Anolis sagrei: one gene and its partners. The protein of the gene in region 3 purifies or fractionates together with the protein of the main gene of each other region. This does not show direct contact. Links are inferred from orthologs where the notes say so. Each region holds a gene or a part of one and is shown on either strand. Other genes may lie near its edges.

What was found.
Region 1: the proteins of SHC1 (region 3) and AP2A1 purify together in Homo sapiens (affinity purification with mass spectrometry; 4 studies listed by BioGRID and IntAct, counting the BioPlex papers as one, with this or other methods). This does not show direct contact. The link is inferred for Anolis sagrei from reciprocal best matches to the Homo sapiens genes SHC1 and AP2A1.
Region 2: the proteins of SHC1 (region 3) and AP2A2 purify together in Homo sapiens (affinity purification with mass spectrometry; 4 studies listed by BioGRID and IntAct, with this or other methods). This does not show direct contact. The link is inferred for Anolis sagrei from reciprocal best matches to the Homo sapiens genes SHC1 and AP2A2.

What each region holds. Positions count from the first base shown.
Region 1 is NC_090026.1:28,904,837-28,911,558, forward strand, and holds the start of AP2A1 (AP-2 complex subunit alpha-1), read right to left. Parts: upstream 4,531-6,722; 5' UTR 4,440-4,530; coding exon 4,373-4,439; intron 1-4,372.
Region 2 is NC_090021.1:242,354,068-242,360,789, reverse strand, and holds the start of AP2A2 (AP-2 complex subunit alpha-2), read right to left. Parts: upstream 4,038-6,722; 5' UTR 3,857-4,037; coding exon 3,790-3,856; intron 1-3,789. UniProt on the Homo sapiens protein: Component of the adaptor protein complex 2 (AP-2). Adaptor protein complexes function in protein transport via transport vesicles in different membrane traffic pathways.
Region 3 is NC_090032.1:233,322-240,043, reverse strand, and holds the start of SHC1 (SHC-transforming protein 1), read right to left. Parts: upstream 4,357-6,722; 5' UTR 3,160-4,356; coding exon 2,551-3,159; intron 1-2,550. UniProt on the Homo sapiens protein: Signaling adapter that couples activated growth factor receptors to signaling pathways. Participates in a signaling cascade initiated by activated KIT and KITLG/SCF.

The DNA of each region.
Region 1 (6,722 bases), on a different chromosome or scaffold from region 3:
TAGCTCTAATTTGACTGACAACAGCTTTTTAGGTTCACAGGCTGGAAAATATTTTTGATAATAGGGATTGAACTTGGTACCTTTTACATCCATAGTGTGTGTTCTACCACTGAGCTTACCATCTCCATAAAAATAGTATTTTCAGAGGCCAGCAACAGAAATCAAAGACAACTTCAAGACAGCAACCTCATGCTTAGTAATCTCAACCTTCACACAGGACTGCAAGAAAAGAGCCTATAATGCTCTCCATTGGCCCTGCAATGATTCATAGTCTTAAGCTCCATCAAAATCACGACATAATAATCTTTTTCCTGAAATTCCAGTGCAGTGAAGTTATCTTTAGTGTGCTCCAACTCATGACATAATTACAATTTCCCACACCCTCTGTACATTGTTTGTGTATATTTTCTAGGATGGCTTTTGCTTTCAGATTGACTTTCTCCCCCAGGGATGTTTGGGTGGTGGGAGACGAAGAAGAGTCAACAATGGTAGGATCAAAGTCTAAAAAGGACTGTTTGAAATTAGCCCCGAAGACTGCTACCCGTGGAGAGCCACACACTGCAATCACCCTATTGGTTTCATGTACAATCTTTGCAAAAAAAAAGATATTGCACAACACTCTGTGACTGTGTGAGCCAAAGAGAGGAAGGGTGGGGTGAAGGGGAAGATCAGGATTCTTGAGAAGGAAGTAGGGAAAGCGAACGGAAACAGACACTTTTGGCCACACTGGAACGCCCCCACAAAAGTCTAGAAAGAAAGACTTGGCACTGAACGAAGATCTCATGGATCTGAAATGTAACATCTTCATCCTTTCAATCACTACTAGCATCTTTCCTATTACTGCAGAGGCAAGCTGAAAAATGACAAGGTTCCTATTTATACTTACTATTAAAGCTCAGTGATTGCCAATCTTTTTTTCCCCAATACCACATAATGCTGACAGCTATGAACATATACTTCCTATCAAAATCATCCATTTGCCCTTAAGGCAAATGGATGTTCCTGATAGGAATTATATGTTCCATTAGGCTCTACCTGATATGCATTGGGGAGGGGACAGAGAATTTGATTCACAGCAGCCAGGAACATTTCTCTAATTTATTTTGTGTTCCCCAAACAGAATTCAGGCTATTCCCCCCCCCCCCCCCCCCTTTGCGTTTTGTACACAGAATGTAAATAGCTGGCGAAGCCTTTCATGGCCGGAATCACTGGGTTGTTGTAGGTTTTTCGGGCTATATGACTATGTTCTAGAAGCATTCTCTCCTGATGTTTCACCTACATCTATGGCAGACATCTTCAGAGGTTGTGGGGTCTCACAACCTCGGAGGATGCCTGCCATAGATGCAGGTAAAACGTCAAGAGAACGCCATAAAGTCCATAAAGTCCGAAAAACCTACAACAACTCAATGTAAATAGCTGTTTCTTACTTTGCTCTCAACAGTATCTGTCCAAGCCCTTGGTGCCAAGTGATGAATATCACCTTTAACCCTCTATATTGGTATAGATCCAACACAAATGCTTCCCAAGAAAATGTAATCCTGTACTATGGAATGTGTCCATTTCCCTAGTTTTGGATTTTTGTGTATGATTCACTTTTTGAATGCCCTTGTTGTGGGAACATGGGAATGAAGAAGGGCATTGAAATCCACACATGAACAAACCAGGATGAGAGTTTGTTCCTTTCTTCCTGCCTCATGAGCCCTTCTCACATTCTCCGTTGACAACTTTTTTTTGCTTTTTTATTGCACCCCACTTTTTCTCCCTCCAAATATCAGAAATCAGGTAAAAACCAGACACTTAATGATAAAATTGGAAGAGATCACAAAGGCAATCCAGTCCAACCCCTGCGATGTAGGAACACATAATCAAAGCACTCCCAACAGATGGCCATCCTGCTTCTGTTAAAAAGCCTATAGAGCAGGAGACTCCATCCCACTCTGAAGCAGAGTTCCACTATTGAACAGCTCTCATGGTCAGGAAATTCTTCCTAATATTCAGGTGAAATCTCATTTTCAATCATTTGAATCTACGGCTCCACTGTGTCCTAGTCTCTGGAGCAGCAGAAAACAAAGCTTGTCCACTCATCAACATGACATCCTTTCAAATATTTAACCTTGGTTCTCATGCCCCTTTTTCCTTTGCAACCCTCATATTCTCCAGCACCCACTCCCTAGTCCACCTCCACACAAGCCCCATCTGCACTGACCATTTAATGCAATTCAGACCTAGCTTCAAACTGTGGCATCGAGAAAGTCCCACAAAAGTGTGTGAAAGAAAATCCTCTGTATAGTTTGTCTTATCACCATCTGGACCAGGGTTTCCTTTGTGTATTCATCTGCACGACGAAACCACTTTCTTCAATGTCAGTTTGAAACTGTGTTAAATAGTCAGTGGAGATGAGACCACAGTCTACAACCATACAACAATGTCCATCTTCCACATTGGCACCTGGTGGCTCGCTCTGTTTTTCAAGTTAGTTCCAAAAAGCTGCTTTGCTATAATAATAATAATAATAATAATAATAATAATATACCATCTGCCTGTGACAAAGAATTGGTGGAATTACAAGCCTGAAAAAGTTACGAAAATAAACACATCAAACAATTCTGAGACTTCCAAATTCAGACTGACAAGTTCTTGGAAACACAATACTCCTGACCTCACAATTGTGGAAAAAAACCAAGTATGGATCTTTGATGTTGCAATCCCACGCGACAGCAGGATTGATGAGAAGCAACTGGAAAGGCTGACACGATGTGAGGATTTAAAGATAAAACTGCAAAGACTCTGGCACAAGACGGCAAAGGCGGTCCCAGTGGTGATTGGCACACTGGGTGCAGTGCCTAAAGACCTTGGCCTGCACCTAAAAACAATAGACGCTGACAAAAATACCATCTGTCAGCTGCAAAAGGCCACCCTACTAGAATCTGCACACATTATTTGCCGAAACATCACAGAGTCCTAGACACTTGGGAAGTATCCGGCGTGTGAGCAAACACAAAAGCCAGGATAGTGATCTTGTTTACTGTGTACTAATATTATTATGTATCAAATAATAATAATACTTTATTTATATTTCACCCTATGTCCCCAAGTGAACTCCTAAGCCAAACCTGTCACCCAACCTACAGCTGACACTGTAGCCAACTCGTAAGTCCAACTTATCACCTTAGAGCAGGTATGGGCAAACTTTGGCCCTCCAGGTGTTTTGGACATCAACTCCCACAATTCCTAACAGCCGGCTGTTAGAAATTTTGGGAGTTCAAAGCACCTGGAGGGTCAAAGTTTGCCCATGCCTGCCTTAGTCAAATCTCCCCTTGCCAGCCAGCCAGCCTGAACTATATCCACACTGTAGAATTAATGCAGTTTTATGTATTGTCTAATCACCTCTCAGGCACTCTCAGGTCATTATAGTGTATGCTAATCAAGGTGGTCAGTTGAAACATTCACACCTAGCTCCAGCAGACAAGAGTCCTTTGTCCCACCCTGGTCATTCCACAGATATATAAACCCTTTTTCCTACTTCCAACAGACCTCACTATGTTTGAGGATGCTTGCCATGGATGCAGGCGAAACGTCAGGAGAGAATGCCTCTAGACCAGTGGTTCTCAACCTGGGGTCCCCAGATGTTTTTGGCCTTCAACTCCCAGAAATCCTAATAGCTGGTAAACTGGCTGGGATTTCTGGGAGTTGTAGGCCAAAAACATGTGGAGACCCCAGGTTGAGAACCACTGCTCTAGACCATGGCCATATAGCCCGAAAAAACCTACAACAACCCTAATGCAGTTTTGATCCCACTCTTAATTGCAATCACTCAATGCTATCCAGTCCTGGGGAAGTTGTAGTTTTGTGAGGCATATACAGCTCTGGTGCCCCAACAAACTACAACTCCCAGGATCCCATGGCAGTGAAAGTGGGGTTAAAAGCGCTATAATTGTGCAGTGGAGACACAGTTGTGGAACTAGCTCAGTTTGGCAAAAACTTGGGACTCCCAGGGCATCCTGGGAGCTGTAGTTTCACAAGGTCTGTCAAAAAAAGGGGTGCTGGTGCCTGGCCAAACTACAACTCCCAGGGTCCCAAGCAATGGCAATTAAAGTGGGATGGAACTGGATCAACTCCACAGTGTGGATGCCCTCACAATTTTTCTCCAAGAGCAAGGCTGGAGCCAAGGGGCCCCCAGGAGCCCCTCCCAAGGGCCCTCCTTGGCCTGGCCTGGCCTAGCCTGGCCGTCAACCGGCTTCCTGCCTCCTTCCCGGCCGCAATCCCACCCGAGGCCCCTTTCCGAGCCCCCCTTCGGCCCTCTCCCATTCCCTCCTTCCTCTTCAACGGCCCCTCCCCTCCCGTTCTCCTCCAGCCTTCCCCATTTGCTCACAGTTTCGGATATCGGAGATAAATACGGCCAGGCCCCGCATCCCGTCTCCCTTGGAAACGGCCGGCATGGTGGCGGTGGCGGATCGGGACCCCGGCGACGCTCCGTTCCGCTCCGCGCCCGAAACCTGGCCCAGCAGCACCGAACCGACCAGGGACTATCCCATTGGCCGCTCTCTACGTCCGTCGTAGGCGATTTTGCATCCCATTGGCTTGAGACCCCGCCTGTCAAGTCCATCCTTGTTCCTATTCACTGAAGGCAAAGCATCCTCCTAGATGATTGGCAGAGAGGATTAAATCCCGCCTATCCCTCTCCCTATTGGCTCCGCCATGCCCCTTATGTCAAATAAGTCCCCTGCCGTCCTGCATTTTCCATTGGGCGTAGGTTAGGACATGTCCCGCCTATAGTTCTTTCCCTCCCGCCCCTTTGTAGACAATCTCTTCTTCTTAGTGGTTCTGAGGAATGTCCTTCAAGGGATATCCCGCCCTCCTTCTCTCCAGCTTCTTGCGAAATCAGCACGCTTAGTTCCCGCCCCACTGATGGACAGTCAACACTTCTTCTGGGTTCTTATTGGAGGAAGAGCTTCTTGTCATTCAAGCAGCATGCTTCTTTTCATTGGCTAAAAGAGGTGACAGCGGAACGGCGGCAAAAGGAACATTGGGGAGAGGAGACTTGGAGACTGGGCTGGGAGGGGCAGCTGACGTCACGAGGTTTGAGCCAATAGGCGCAAAAGAGAAATGTTAAAGGATGGAAAGGCATGGATTCAAATCCTCTTCCATGTGGTTCGAGTTCTTCTTATCTAAGTGTACTATTATTTCTTCTACATTTATTGTTGTTGATAGTCTAATGTTTATATTATTTAATATAATGTAATATAATATAATTTATTGTATATACATATAATATTTATAATATTATAATGTAATGCAATATAATAATAATAATATATTATTATAATTACATATTTATTTTACATGTAATATTACTAATAATATTTCAATATAATGGTATAGTACAATATAGTAATATTTAATACTGATATTGTACTATGCTAATAATATAATATATTGTATGTATATATATTTTGTAAGCCGCTCTAATTCCCCTCCGGTGTGAGAAGGGCGGCATATAAATGTCATAAATAAATCTATATAAATAAAAATGTAATGTTCGTTTGTGGGATTAATAGAACCTAAAAACCACTGGACAAGTTGACACCAAATTTGGACACAAGACACTAAAAAAATGGATTTCGTCATTTGGGAGTTGTAGTTGCTGGGATTTGTAGTTCACCTACAATCCAAGAGCATTCTGAACCGCACCAACGATGGAATTGAACCAAACTTGCCACACAGTTCTCCTATGGCCAACAGAAAATACTGGAAGGGTTTGGTGGGCAGTATCCTTTGGTTTTGGAGTTGTAGTTCACCAACATCCAGAGAGCACTGTGGACTCAAACAATGATGGATCTGGACCAAATTCTTCACAAATACTCAATATGCCCAAATGTGAGCACTGGTGGAGTTTGGGGAAAATAGAATCTTGACATTTGTGAGTTGTAGTTGCTGGGAGTTATAGTTCACCTACAATCACAAAGCATTCTGAACCCCACCGATGATAGAATTGGGCCAAACCTCCCACACAGAACCCCCATGACCACCAGAGTGGGCCACAGCAATGTGTGGCAGGGGATGGCTACTAAATAAACAATCTTAGTAGTAGTATTTAATAATAATAATATATATTTATTATAATAAATATAATACTTATTTACAATAATAGTAATATTATTTTGAAATTATCATTCCCAATATTGCTTAAAATATTTATTAAGATGAGAATTAGTAAGTTTTTAGTACCATTTTATTTTTTTTAAAGATAAAAAATAGTACTTATATAGAGCAATGTGAAGATATGGCAAGTGCTATCTAGGATCTGTTTCTAGAGAATTTAAATGCCAAACCACTTCTGGGCAAGCTATTTAACTTCAGTAGACTGAAAGCCAAAACCAAGGTCACAACATCTGTTATAGAACTCCAATATGCTGATGACAATGTAGTGTGTGCTATCTCTACAAGCCACTCTAAACACCTTTGCAGAAGCATATGAGAAACTCGGCCTCTCACTGAATATCGAGAAAACCAAAGTGCTCTTCCAGCAGGCATCAGCGAATCCCTCTGCAATGCCAAAAATACAATTTAATGGTGTAACGTTAGAAAATGTTGACCATTTCCGCTACCTTGGCACCCACCTCTCCACAAAAGTCAGCATTGACACTGAAATACAAAACCGCCTGAATTCTGCGAGTGCAGCATTCGTCCAAATGCAGCACAGAGTGTTTGAGGACCAGAAC
Region 2 (6,722 bases), on a different chromosome or scaffold from region 3:
TTGTTTTAACCATGAATAGCTGGATTTAGCTTTGTATATACCGCAGTGTATCACATTGTTTGTGATTTCTGTCATTCTGTTGATTAGCCTATTACTGGAATAAATACAATGGATGCAAGCAGTTATAGAATAAAAACTGTAATAATAAATGTGATGTTTGCTGTTAACTTGGACATACTGTGACCCTATTTTTTCTGGTGCGGGGGCGAGGACTTATTCAAAGGAGGCCTTCCTTTACGCCTGAGGTAAAGTGACTTTCCCAAGGTCATCTAGTGGTTTTCATGATTTAGTGGGGAATTGGACCCCAGACTCCCCGAGTCCATTGGCTTAAATCCCCTAAAGGTACCAGATCCTATCAGATCCTGGAAGCAAATCAGGGTCAGCCCAGGTTAACATATAGATGAGACACTGCCAGAGAACACTAAATGCCATTGGCTATATTTTTGAGGAAGGAACTGCAAAGCCTTCTCTGTGTATTCCTTGCTTTTAAAATCCTATGAAATTCATGTGGTTGCTGTAAGTCGACAGATGACTTGAAGGCACACACATATCGTACCCTACAAATGGCAAAAAGAGCTAAAAAGCCTTCTATTGCACAAAGGGATTTAAGCATATCCATCCCTGAACAGTCCTCTCTGAGAGGCCACTTCCAAATAATGGTTTGCTTCACCAACTAGAGATTTTTTTTAAATGAGGGGTATGGAATTGCTGCCAGTTGTAAGCTGCCTTGAGTCCCCTCTGGGCTTGAGAAAGGTGGGATATAAATATGGTAAATAAATAAATAAATAACACCTACTTGATACTAAATCAAATTGAGGTTATGTCAATCTCTGCCCCAATGGGCATAACCTGATTCCGGTAGAATACATGAAAGACAAGAATCAGCACAGAAAGCACAGTGATCACTATGGTAATATCTAACCAGTTATTTTGTGCCAAACTCCTATAGTATGGCTACTGGGAGATATTTCCTATTATGTTTCTTCACTATGAGATGGTGGAGAAGAGGTTATTTCTGGAGCACTCCAGAAACAAATCTACTTGTCATTCATTTTTCTGAAGCCTAGTCAACCCTCAATCTTCATTTAGGGGCACATGATCCCTGCAAAAGTGAACAACCACATTTTTTAAAAAAACAACCTTTATTTTACCTAAGAGAACACCCCTCTAGGAATTTCTGGGTTGTCCAGCACCATTCTATTGTTAATTTCTGCCTGAATCACATTGGAGGCCAAGAGATTCCAAGAGAGGTGTTCTTTCTAGTAACCTCGAGGTCCTCCACTTCTGGTGGAAATTGACCACAGAGTTGCACTGGAGGACCTTGAGATTCCTGGGAAGAACATTATAATAAAAACCGTAAATATTCAAGTTCACAAATGTGATGCACCAACCATATATGGTATCTGGTGGGTGAGAATATCTCTTTTCAGCAAGAAGATTTTTTATTCATGCCAGGCAAGCTGGAATGTGTCCAGAGGAGGGCAACTAAAATGATCAAGGGTCTGGAGAACAAGACCTATGAAGAGAGGCTTATAGAGCTGGGCATGTTTAGCCTGCAGAACAGAAGGCTGAGAGGAGACATGATAGTCATATATAAATATATGAGGAAAAGTCACAGGGAGCTGGTTTTCTGCTGCCCTAGAGACTATGGCTTCAAACTACAGGAAAGGAGATTCCACGTGAACATTAGGAAGAACTGTGAGAGCTGTTCAGCAATGGAACTCTCTGCCCTGCACTGTGGTGGAGGCTCCTTCTTTGGAGGCTTTTAAGTAGAAGCTGGATGGCCATCTGTCAGAGATGCTTTGAATGCAATTTTCCTGTTTCTTGGAAGGGGGTTGGACTGGATGGTCCACGAGGTCTCTTCCAACTCTAGGTCCACACAATATGAGGATTTTTGATAGTCCATTTGTGGTGAGAAAGTGTGTGCTGAAATAACTACCAATCCAGTCCTTGGCCTCCTTCAACCAATTCCAAAGATTAATACTGACCACTGGCTAATGGCTCTTTACACAGACAGACATCTCTAGATCAGCTTTAAAAGGTCTCCTGGAGGCAGCAGCCCTGCTGCCAAAAGAAGATTAGGAGTATTTTGTCAGCTACGCAGCATGGAAATGGTAAAACCTCAGATGACTTGCAGGCTTATCGACACACTCACACACAAGCCCTGCACCAATTTGACTAACTTGCCTGCTAAATAGAGACAACAAAGCCTGAGCCATTCCAACGGTTGGTATCTCCAAACTGAACTGAATTCAGGGGACAAATGTGTAGGGAGAGCACAGCTCAAAACTGCGAGATTGGGATTATTCTAAATTGGGGTTGATTTCATTGGGCGGCTGTTGTGTGTAATAGATTTTCAACATATTACTCTTTCAATTGAAAACAAGGGATTGTAGAGGTGTTTATGGTGGTAGCATCGCACACATATACTGTACCTCTTATAAACAATAAATGCACTTGGAGCATTGCATGAAATGTCCTGATTCACACGGCCATAGAAAAAGGGAAATGTCACTTTCTTCAAAAGGAGCTACATTCTCCCTCTTCCTCCTCCCTACTAACTAAAGCATTTCTTTCCTAGAGGATTTCCAGATTTATCTGTTTTCCTCACAGAACAGACCCAGTGGTTTCACTGGGATGAGTTGTCAGGCTTTGAATGGGCAGATCACCTGGGCTTCACACATTGCAAGCCACTCAGTCAGGATGGTTTAGGAACAGAAGTGAATCAAGGAGGATACGTCCCTAAAGACTTGCAAGGTGCATCTACCTGCAAAATTAATGCACTTTGACACCATTTTGCCATGGCGCAATGGTAATTAATCCTGGGAGTTGTCGTTTCCCAAGGTGTTCGGCTTTCTCTACCTACGGATGTATCGACACCAGGGATGGGCAAACTTCTGAATCCTGGCAGTTGTCGTTTCTCAAGATCTTTGGCTTTCTTTACCTCCAGATGTATCTACAGAGGTATGAGCAAACTTCTGAATCCTGGGAGTTGTAGTTTCCCAAGATCTTTGGTTTTCTTTACCTACAGATGTATCTACAGAAGGTATGGGCAAACTTCTAAATCCTGGAAGTTGTAGTTTCCCAAGATCTTTGGCTTTCTCCATCTATGGATGGATCTACACCAGGTATGGGCAAACTTGGGCCTTCCGGGTGTTTTGGACTTCAACTCCCACCATTCCGAATGGTGGGAGTTAAAGTCCAAAACACCTGGAGGGCCCAAGTTTGCCCATACCTGGTCTACACTGTAGAATGAATGCAGCTTGACTTCCACGGCTCAGTGCTATGCAATCCTGGGATGGGTAGTTTGGTGAGGCCCCAGCCCTCTCTGGAAGAGCCAGCTAAAGGTCTTGTAAGACTGCAACTCCCAGGATCCCATAGCATTGAGCCAGGGCAATTAAAAGTGGTGTCAAACGCATTCATTCCATAGTGTAGATGACGGAAGGCTTTTATGGGGAGGCAAGAGAAGGGCATGTCATTTCAAGGAGGGGGAAAAGGCCCTAGGAATGCAGAACAAACACACTCCGTTGGAAAGGCTCTCTTTCCAACGGAGCTTCTTCCTAAGGCCAGGAACGGTGAGCTCATTCCCGTTACTTCAGTCCTTAAGGAAGGCATGAGAGAAGCAAAAGCCCCGCCCGACAGACCGAGCAGGCAAGAGGGAAGGAGGCGGCCAAGCTTCGCCTTCTTTCTCCCCACGCCATGATGGGAAGCCAGCTCCGAGCCTCCTCTCCCCTCTGCCCACGCGCAAAAGGAGGCGCCCCCATCCCCCCCCCCAGGGGGGCCACTCACAGTTCCGGATGTCGGAGATGAAGACGGCCAAGCCGCGCATCCCATCGCCTTTGGACACAGCCGGCATTTTGGCGGCGAAGCCTTGGCCGAGCTTTCCGCAATCGGCAGCAGCGGAGCAGCCACGGCCGCCGCTCGGTTTCAGTCTCAGCAGAAGCAGGAGGAGGAGGAGGAGGAGGACCTTTAGCCCTGCAGCCGCCCACGCCACGCACGCGCGCCTCTCCTCCTCCTCCTCCTGCCCACGCTCGCCTCGCCAAGACCCCGCTAGAGATGCCCGGGACACGCGCCCCCTGCCGGGCGGAGGCGAGAAGGCGGCCGGGAAGTTAAGGAGGGAGAGACAGGCAGAAGCCAAGGCACCCGGTCAGCTCTGCAGGGTCAGCGCTGGTTAGCGCTTGGATGGGAGGCCGCCTACGTCAGTGTTTCTCAACCTCCCTAATACTACAGTTCCTCATGTTGTGCTGACCCCCAACCATAATATTATTTTCGTTGCTACTTCATAACTGTAATTTTGCTACTGTTCTGAATCGTCATGTAAATCTCTGGCATGCAGGATGTATTTTTATTCACTGCAACAAATTTGGCACACAGACTGGATACGCCCAAATTTGAATACTGGTGGGGTGGGGGTTGATTTGATCATTTCGGAGTTGTAGTTGCTGGGATTTATCGTTTTGTTTTGTTTTGTTTTGTTTTTAAATATATCTTTATTGATTTTATTTTGCAGGTTAAAAAAATGAATAGGAAGGGGAGAAAAAGAAAAAAAATTGAAGGGGGTTACAGGATATTTACTCTTGACCGTGGGCCAGTTTGTTGGGGGTTCTTCTTTACTGGTTCTTTCCTAGGTTGATTATCTGCTTCAAGTGCTTAAGCTGTTCTTTGTTTTTCCGTTCATAGCATAACCTTCATCTTCTCCTGTTTCAGAAAGCTGGTTAGTTGTGGTCACGGGCGCGATTGGTGGGGACGAGAGACAGGGCCTTCTCAGTGATTGCTCCCTGGCTATGGAACTCCCTTCCTGGTGAGATCAGGTCAGCCCACTCCCTCCTGTCCTACAGAAGGATGGTAAAAACCTGGCTGTGGGACCAAGCTTTCAGGACAGGGCAATAAATCGGAAATAGGAAAGATTACCAGGCCGATTAGATTTGCCACTGATGACTAGGATGGTTTTAGATGGTGCCTTTTAATATTGAGATTAATGTTTTTAATGTTTATGTATGTGTATATGAATTTATGTCCCGGCATTGAATGTTTGCCATATATATGCTGTGCTCCTCCCTGAGTCCCCTTCAGGGTGAGAAGGGTGGAATATAAATGTTTTAAATAAAATAAATAAATAAATTAGTTGTGACCAGTCTGTCGCTTTTCTAGTTCTGTTTTGGTTGTGAGCTAGTTGTTGAGTGAGTAGATTCATTTTCATGATCTCTATCATTTTTATCAACCATTCTTGTCTTGTTGGGATTTCTTCTGTTTTATAGCGCCTTGCGAGTACTATTCTTGCAGCAGTTGTTAAATAGGTGAGGAGGATGTCTTTATTCTTTTCCAATTTTTAATCCATGATACCCAACAAGAAGAGTTCTGGACTAAAATTTATTTGTTCTTGAATTATTTTTTGGATTGCACCGTGAATTATTTTCCAATATTTCCTTACTTTGTTACAGCTCCACCACATGTGTAGGAATGAGCCCATCTCATCTTTGCATTTCCAACATTTTGCACCTAAGTTCTTATAACATTTTGGTAAATTTTCAGGTGTGTGATACCACTGGTATTGTATTTTATATCAGTTTTCCTGTAGTTCATATGAATAAGTGAATTTTATTTTAGTATTCCATATTAATTCCCATTCACTGAGTCCTATTGTGCGTCCAACGTTTGAGGCCCACTTTGCCATGCAGTCTTTGTCTGTCTTTTTTTCCTGTGCCCATTCTGAGAGTTTCTTGTAAATTTTGGAGATGATTTTGCTTTGAGAGAGCATTATTTTATCCCAGACCGTCTCCTTTGCCATAAAGCCTCTTTTCTTGTCCACATTATAATGTTCTCTGATTTGTCTATATCGGAACCATGAAATGTGCTTAAACTTTTCCTTTAATTCCTCTTGCGTCTTTATCATAAAGTTCCCATTTTGTCTCTTTAGGACTTCTTTGTAAGGGGGCCATGATTCTCCACCAGATTCTCTTCTTTGGTCAGCTTCAAGTTGATCCAAAGTGGGGGTTTTTTGGTAAAAGTAATCCTTGGGATTTAGAGTTCACTTACAATCAAAGAGCATTCTGAACTTCACCAACGATGGAATTGAACCAAACTTGGCACACAGAATTCCCATGACCAACAGAAAATACTGGAAGGGTTTGATGGGCACTGACCTTGAGTTTTGGAGTTGTACAGTTATTCTCCAACATCCAGAGAGCACTGTGGACTCAAACAATGATGCCTCTGGAACAAACATGAAACGAATACTCAATATGCCCAAATGTGAACACCAGTGGAGTTTGGGGGAAATATACCTTGATATTTGGTGGTTGTAGTTGCTGTGATTTATAGTTCACCTACAATCAAAGAGCATTCTGAACCTCACCAATGATAGAATTGGGCCAAACTTCCCACACAGAACCCCCATGACCACAGAAAATAGTGTGTTTTCAGATTGTCTTTGGAGACCCCTCTAACACCTCCTCACAATCCCCAGATTGAGAAAAACCGGCCTATGTACATAGCCTTGGAGTTGAGACATGCCACTCCAGGGCTGGGGGGGGGGGGGGGGGGGAGGGGGAGGAATTCACACACACCCATTTTTTCAGGTTTTTTTTAAACTGTTTTACTCATGAATTTTAACCAAATTAAAATGAAAATTAACCAAATCCCCCTGCTAAGTCTATGAGAAGCAAAAATTAAACAAGCCCCCTTCAGAACTGCAAGTACTATCTCAAGCAAATTTTGACAAT
Region 3 (6,722 bases):
CATCTAGCTACCCGTCCATCTATCTACTTTCTATCTATCTATTCATCTATCCATCTACTCTATCTACCTATCCATTCATCCATCTAGCTATCCATCTGCCTAATTTTCTCTCTCTTTCCCTCTCTCCATCTACTCTATCTATCTATCTATCTACCTACCTACCTACCTACCTACCTATCCATTCATCCATCTAGCTATCCATCTACCTGCCTCTCTCTACATCTATCTATCTATCCATCCATCCATCCATCCATCCATCCATCCATCCATCCATCCATCTACTCTATCCATCTAGCTATCCATCCATCTATCCATCCATCTATCTACCTATCAATTCTACATCTAGCTATCCATCTACCTATCTACTTTCTCTCTCTCTCTCTATCCATCTACTCTATCTATCTATCTATCTATCTTTCCATCCATCCACCTACCTACGTATTCATCCATCCATCTATCCATCTATCCATCCACATACCTTACCTACCTATCCGTTCATCCATCTAGCTATCCATCTAGCTATCTCCTTGATCCCTCTGTCTATCCATCTATCCATCTACCCATCTACCTATCCATCTACCTATCCATCTAGCCATCTATCTATCTATCTATCTATCTATCTACCTACCTACCTACCTACCTACCTATCCGTTCATCCATCTAGCTATCCATCTAGCTATCTACTTTATCTCTCTCTCTCTCTGTCTATCTCATCTATCCATCCATCCATCCATCCATCCACCCATCCATCCATCCATCTATCCATCCATCCATCCATTTATCCATTCATCCATCCATCCATCCGTCCGTCCATCTGTCTACTTCCCTACCTACAGGTTGGACTAGATGGGTTCTCCCTCCCTCCCTGCCTGCCTGCTTATTGATCTACTGAACTCTTACCTCTGCACCTCTGCCTGCTTATTGATCTACTGAAGGTCTTACCTCTGCACCTCTGCCCCCCAAGGGATACCCAGCCCAACCCATCACAGAGAGAACTCTTTCCCTTGGGGCGCCCTCCAACTCTGGGATTCTATTCAATCTATTTCTCCATCCATCCACCCAACTCCTTAAGCAGAGGCTGGCTGGCCATCGTGTTGGGAGGGGTTTGATTGTGCTTGTCCTGCCTGGCCGAAGGGGCTTGAGGTGGCCCTGGGGGTCCCTTCCAAGTCGAGGGACCTTTCCTTCCCCCGCCCTGTGTCTCCAGCTGAGCGAGGAAGGCAAGCGGAGGGGGGGGGGGGCTGGGTCCTTCCTTGGGTGTCGCAGGGGGGCAGCAGCCGGGTGCCTCAAAGTGGGTCGCTGCGCCAGGGAAGGGCCTGTGCGCCAAGCCCCCGGGGGCAGATGGACGGATGGACGCACACTCACTCGCTTGCTCACTCGCTCCCCGGCACACGCCCGTCAAGGGCAATCATGTGGCGGAAGGGAAGGCCGGGGGCAGGCGCCCAGGCACAGGGAGGCCGGCCAAAGAGGAGGAGGGAGGCGGGGTGGCTGGGAGGTTAGTGTCCATTGTTATCATGATTACTACTAGACTCACAGAGTGGGAAAGGGCCCCAAAGGAGGCCATCCAGTCTACCCCCTTCTGCCATAATAGGGAGATACAATCCGAGAGCTGGAAGGCGCTACAAAGAGGGCCATCCAGTCCAGCCCCCTTCTGCCTTCATGCAGGACAAGCACAATCAAAGCACCTCGATAGATGGCCATCCAGTCTCTGTAGTAGCCATGACAATAGCACTACTAGTAGGAACAACAACAACCCCAGGAGCAATCCCAGTCCAACCCCCTTCTGCCTTCATGCAGGAAAAGCACAATCAAAGCAACCTGATAGATGGCCATCCAGTCTCTGTAGTAGTAATGACAATAGCACTACTAGTAGTAACAACAACAACAACAACCCCAGGAGCAATCCCAATCCAACCCCCTTCTGCCTTCACGCAGGACAAGCACAATCAAAACACCCTGACAGATGGCCATCCAGTCTCTGTAGTAGTAATGACAATAGCACTACTAGTAGTAACAACAACAACAACCCCAGGAGCAATCCCACTCCAACCCCCTTCTGCCTTCATGCAGGAAAAGCACAATCAAAGCACCCCGATAGATGGCCACCCAGCTCTGTAGTAGCCATAACAATAGCACTACTAGTAGTAACAACAATAGGAGCAATTCCAGTCCAACCCCCTTCTGCCTTCATGCAGGAAAAGCACAATCAAAGCAACCTGACAGATGGCCATCCAGTCTCTGTAGTAGCCATAACAATAGCACTACTACTAGTAACAACAACAACAACAACAACAACAGGAGCAATCCCAATCCGACCCCCTTCTGCCTTCATGCAGGAAAAGCACAATCAAAGTACCCTAATAGATGGCCACCCAGCCTTTGTAAAGAACAACAACAGGAGCAACCCCAGAGGCCACCCCCTTTCCTCCTGCCCTGCAGGAAAAGCACAATCAAAGCCCCCCTGACAGATGCCCACCCACCCTCCCAAGGAGGAGCTTCCAACGAACTCTGAGGCAGAGAGTTCCTCTTCTGAACAAGCCCTGGCTCACTCACCCGGACGAGGTAGGAGACTCCGGGGCCCATGACCTTGTCGTCGGGGTGCAGCCACCCGCGGCTGGGCTTGTTGACAAAGCTGCCGTGGCGCGTCCACTCGTCCCCTCCCAGCTGGCCGCCTTCCACCCGCATCTTCTTCCCGCCGCAGCCCAGCTTGTTCATATCCTGGGAAGAGAGAGCCAGAGCTGAGCCCGGGGAGGCGGCAGCAAGGGGGGGCAAGGGGGGCAAGGCTGGCGGGGGCAACGCTGGGGGCACGGGCGGGGGCTCTTCCCTGGAGAAGCCCCGGAAGCCGCCCAGCAGCGTGGCGGCCGGGTTGGAGAGCTTGAGGTTGGCCATCTTGGGGAAGAAGGAGCAGAGGGTGGTGGGGCTGTCCTCCGACTCCGAGGAGAGCTCCCCCAGGGGCAGCATGGGGCTCAGCGAGGACGACGACGAGAGAGAGCCCGCCGGCAGGAGCGCAAAGGGGTCCGGCGGGGAGCCCTCCTCATCCTCCTCCTCCTCCTCTGCCGCCGTCGCCACCCCCGCCACAGCCACCCCCAAGGGCCCATCCTCCAGGGAGGAGAGGGAGTCGTTGCGCAGGTGGTTGTATCTGCTCTTCTGGAGGAGGTCCATCCCAACAAGTGAGTCCTGGCCAAGCTCACGCTCCTGCCAACGCCGGTCTGAAGGTGATGCTCTGCCTGGACGACATGGCTGACCAAAGGGAGGGGATCCAAGGAGAAATCCACCCCTGGGTTAGGACTGTCCGGTTATGGTAATCGCTGTTGTCCTTGCACCAAATCCACTCAATCGAAGGAAGGGCCAACAGACCACGCCAATGACAGCCGAGATCCCAGTCTGTGGTCCTCAAAGCTGGGATGCCAGAGAAGAGGGAGGAGGAGGACAGCGCCTTGGGACCCAAGGGGTTAGGACTGTCCGGTTACGGTCATCGCTGTTGTCCTTGCACCAAATCCACTCAATCGAAGGAAGGGCCAACAGACCACGCCAATGACAGCCGAGATCCCAGTCTGTGGTCCTCAAAGCTGGGATACCAGAGATGAGCGAGGAGGAGGACAGCGCCTTGGGACCCAAGGGGTTAGGACTGTCCGGTTACGGTCATCGCTGTTGTCCTTGCACCAAATCCACTCAATCGAAGGAAGGGCCAAGAGACCACGCCAATGACAGCCAAGATCCCAGTCTGTGGGATGCCAGAGGAGAAGAAGAGGAGATGAAGGAGGACAGCGCCTCGCGTCCCGATCTCCGATTCCCACACTGCTGAGCCTCTCCCTGCTTTGATTTGGATCGTCGTCCTTCTTCTGCTGCTTGAGGATGACAATCGGAGAGCCACGTCCTGCGAAGGAGAGATGGAGAAACGGCCCAAAGCGAGGGAGGCCACAGAGATGGATCCGGGAAGGTGGAGGCAGTGGGGAGCCTGCCAGGAAGCCGAACACAAGCCGCTCTGTTCAGCCACCGAAGAGGAGGAGGAGGAGTGTGTGTGGGGGGGGGGGAGCCCACGTGGGCAGCAGTGATGGGCAGCGGTCAGCCGGAGATGCCGGACCCGACCGTCTGGAGGCGGCCTTCTCTGGAGAGACAGGCCCCTCCCTCCTTGCAGCTCAGGTGCCCGCCGGCAGTGTCCTCTTTGGGGTCCCCCCTGAACCCCTTCCTGTCCGCCCTTGGATTCTGCTGCGGAGGGTGAATTGCTGCCGCTTCCTGAGTGCGGCTCCGGCAGCGAAAGAAAGAAAGAAAGAAAGAAAGAAGGCGGAGGACGGAAAGAGGCCAAGCCTCCACTGCCACCAATGGAGGAAAGGAAGGAAGGAAGGAAGGAAGGAAGGAAGGAAGGAAGGAAGGAGAGAGGAGGGAGGGCACTGCTGACTCACAAGGGGAGAGGTGGGTGGGTGGGAGGCCCCTGCCCACCTTGCCTTTGCAAAGAGGGAACGCGGGCCAAGCGGAGGACGCAGAGGCCAGGCTCCAAGGCAGGAGGGGTCAAGGTGAGCAAGCACTCACTCATTCACTCACTGGCTCACTCACACTCAAGGTCACTGGGCTCCAGACAAGATGGAGGGACCTTTCGGAGTGGCAGGCATATGGCACAGGCATCACAACAACAACAACTACTACTACTACTACTATTATACTCATATCTAATGCTCACCTTCGATGGAGCGTTAGACTTGAGTCAATATGAGGCCTGGGCAAACTTCAACCCTCCAGGTGTTTTGGACCTCAACTCCCATAATTCCTAATAGCCGGTCAATATGGTAGTTATGGTGGCTGACGAGGATGCTCAGAGGTAGTGAGGTGAGGATGCTTGCCATAGAAGCAGGCAAAATGTCAGGAGAGAATGCCTCTAGAACATGGCCATATAGCCCGAAAAAACCTATAGCAACCCTGTGATTCCGGCCATGAAAGCCTTCGACAATACGTTGACGAGACTGTTTTATTGTTTTAATGCTTGTTGATGTATTGTTTTCATTAGGATTTATGTTTAATTGTGGTTTTACTATTGTAATTGTATTGGCCAACATAAGGCCATTATTCTTGCCATGAATCTTGCCATTATTTTTGTGTAAACCCGCTTTGAGTCCCCCCAGGGTTGAGAAAGGCGGTATATAAATACTGTAAATAAGTAATAATAATACATAATAATAATTATTCTCTCTTCCAGTGGCTACTTTCAAGTTAGGGAATATGCCTCCCACTTTCCTTCCAGCTTAAAAGGTCCCTATGGCTTATATTATTATTATTATTATTATTATTATTATTATTTATTTCTATTAATATTATTATCACCCAACTTCCATCGCTGATTAAGAGGCAAAATGGCCCACAACATTAAAAGACACATGCAGTTTGAAATCTGCATCATATAAACATGACAATAAAACGGAACATACAATCATTAAACGGAGTCAGTTAGGAATTGTAACAAAAAACATACCACTTTTTGATTTCTCATTAGGATGCAAAGCGGCTTTCAACACTACAAAACAGGGCAATTTCAAATCCAGAAGAGACCCCAAAGGCCATCCCTGTCAAACCCTCTCTAGGCATGATGGAAGGAAAACAAAACCCAAAACCCACCCCCCATAACCTGTAATACAATGGAATACTACAACACCCATCATCAGAAAGAACTAGCACTGCTATCACTAGATGCGGAAAAGGCATTCGACAACCTGAACTGGAACTTCTTTAAATTACTGATGGACGAATTAGACCTAGGCTACCAATTTAAGAATGCTATAAACACTAACCAAGAAGCAAGAATTCAAATAAATGGACAACTAACAGAAAAGTTCCAAATCAGTAAAGGGACTCGACAAGGATGTCCCCTCTCCCCCTTAATATTCATAATGGCACTAGAAACATTGCTGGAATACATAATAAGACGGGACAGAGAACTGAAAGGATTGAAGATTGCCAAGCAAGAATTCAAATTAAGGGCTTTTGCGGATGACGTGATCTGCATCATAGAGGACCCAGTCAAAAACATAGAAAAGTGGATATCAAGAACCGAAGCATTTGGGAAGATAGCGGGATTCAAAATAAATAATAAGAAGTCATCTTAACTAAAAACATCACAAAAAAGAGAAAAGAAGAACTACAAGAAAGGACAGGATTCCAAGTTAAGACCAAGATAAAGTACCTGGGAATATGGATCTCGGCTAGTAATGCACAATTGCTTCAGAACAACTACATGGAAAAATGAACCCAAATATTATTAAAACAAGTCCGTTAGCAATAATATTTCAAAATCCAAGCGCCTGCGACAATCTACGTCATATAGACATGGAAACAGAATAAAACAATCACTTAAAACAGGTCAGTTAGTAGTAGTAGCAGCAGTAGTAGCAACAACACAATCCAAACACCTGCAACAACAACAACAACAACAAAATGTTATTTACACCCCGCCACCATCTCCCCAAAGGGGACTCGGGGCAACTTACATGAGGTCATCAATACAATAAACACAATATAACACAAAACACAACAAAAATCAAGAAATAAAATAACATAAAATACAATATGCTGCCAGCCAAATTGAAGCGCCAAAAGTGGGCGCTAGAAACAACATCATACGAAAGCTGACTGGCACAACCTGGGGATCACAACCAGACACAGTGAAGACATCTGCCCTTGCGCTATGCTACTCTGCTGCTGAGTCTGCATGCCCAGTGTGGAACACATCCCACCAC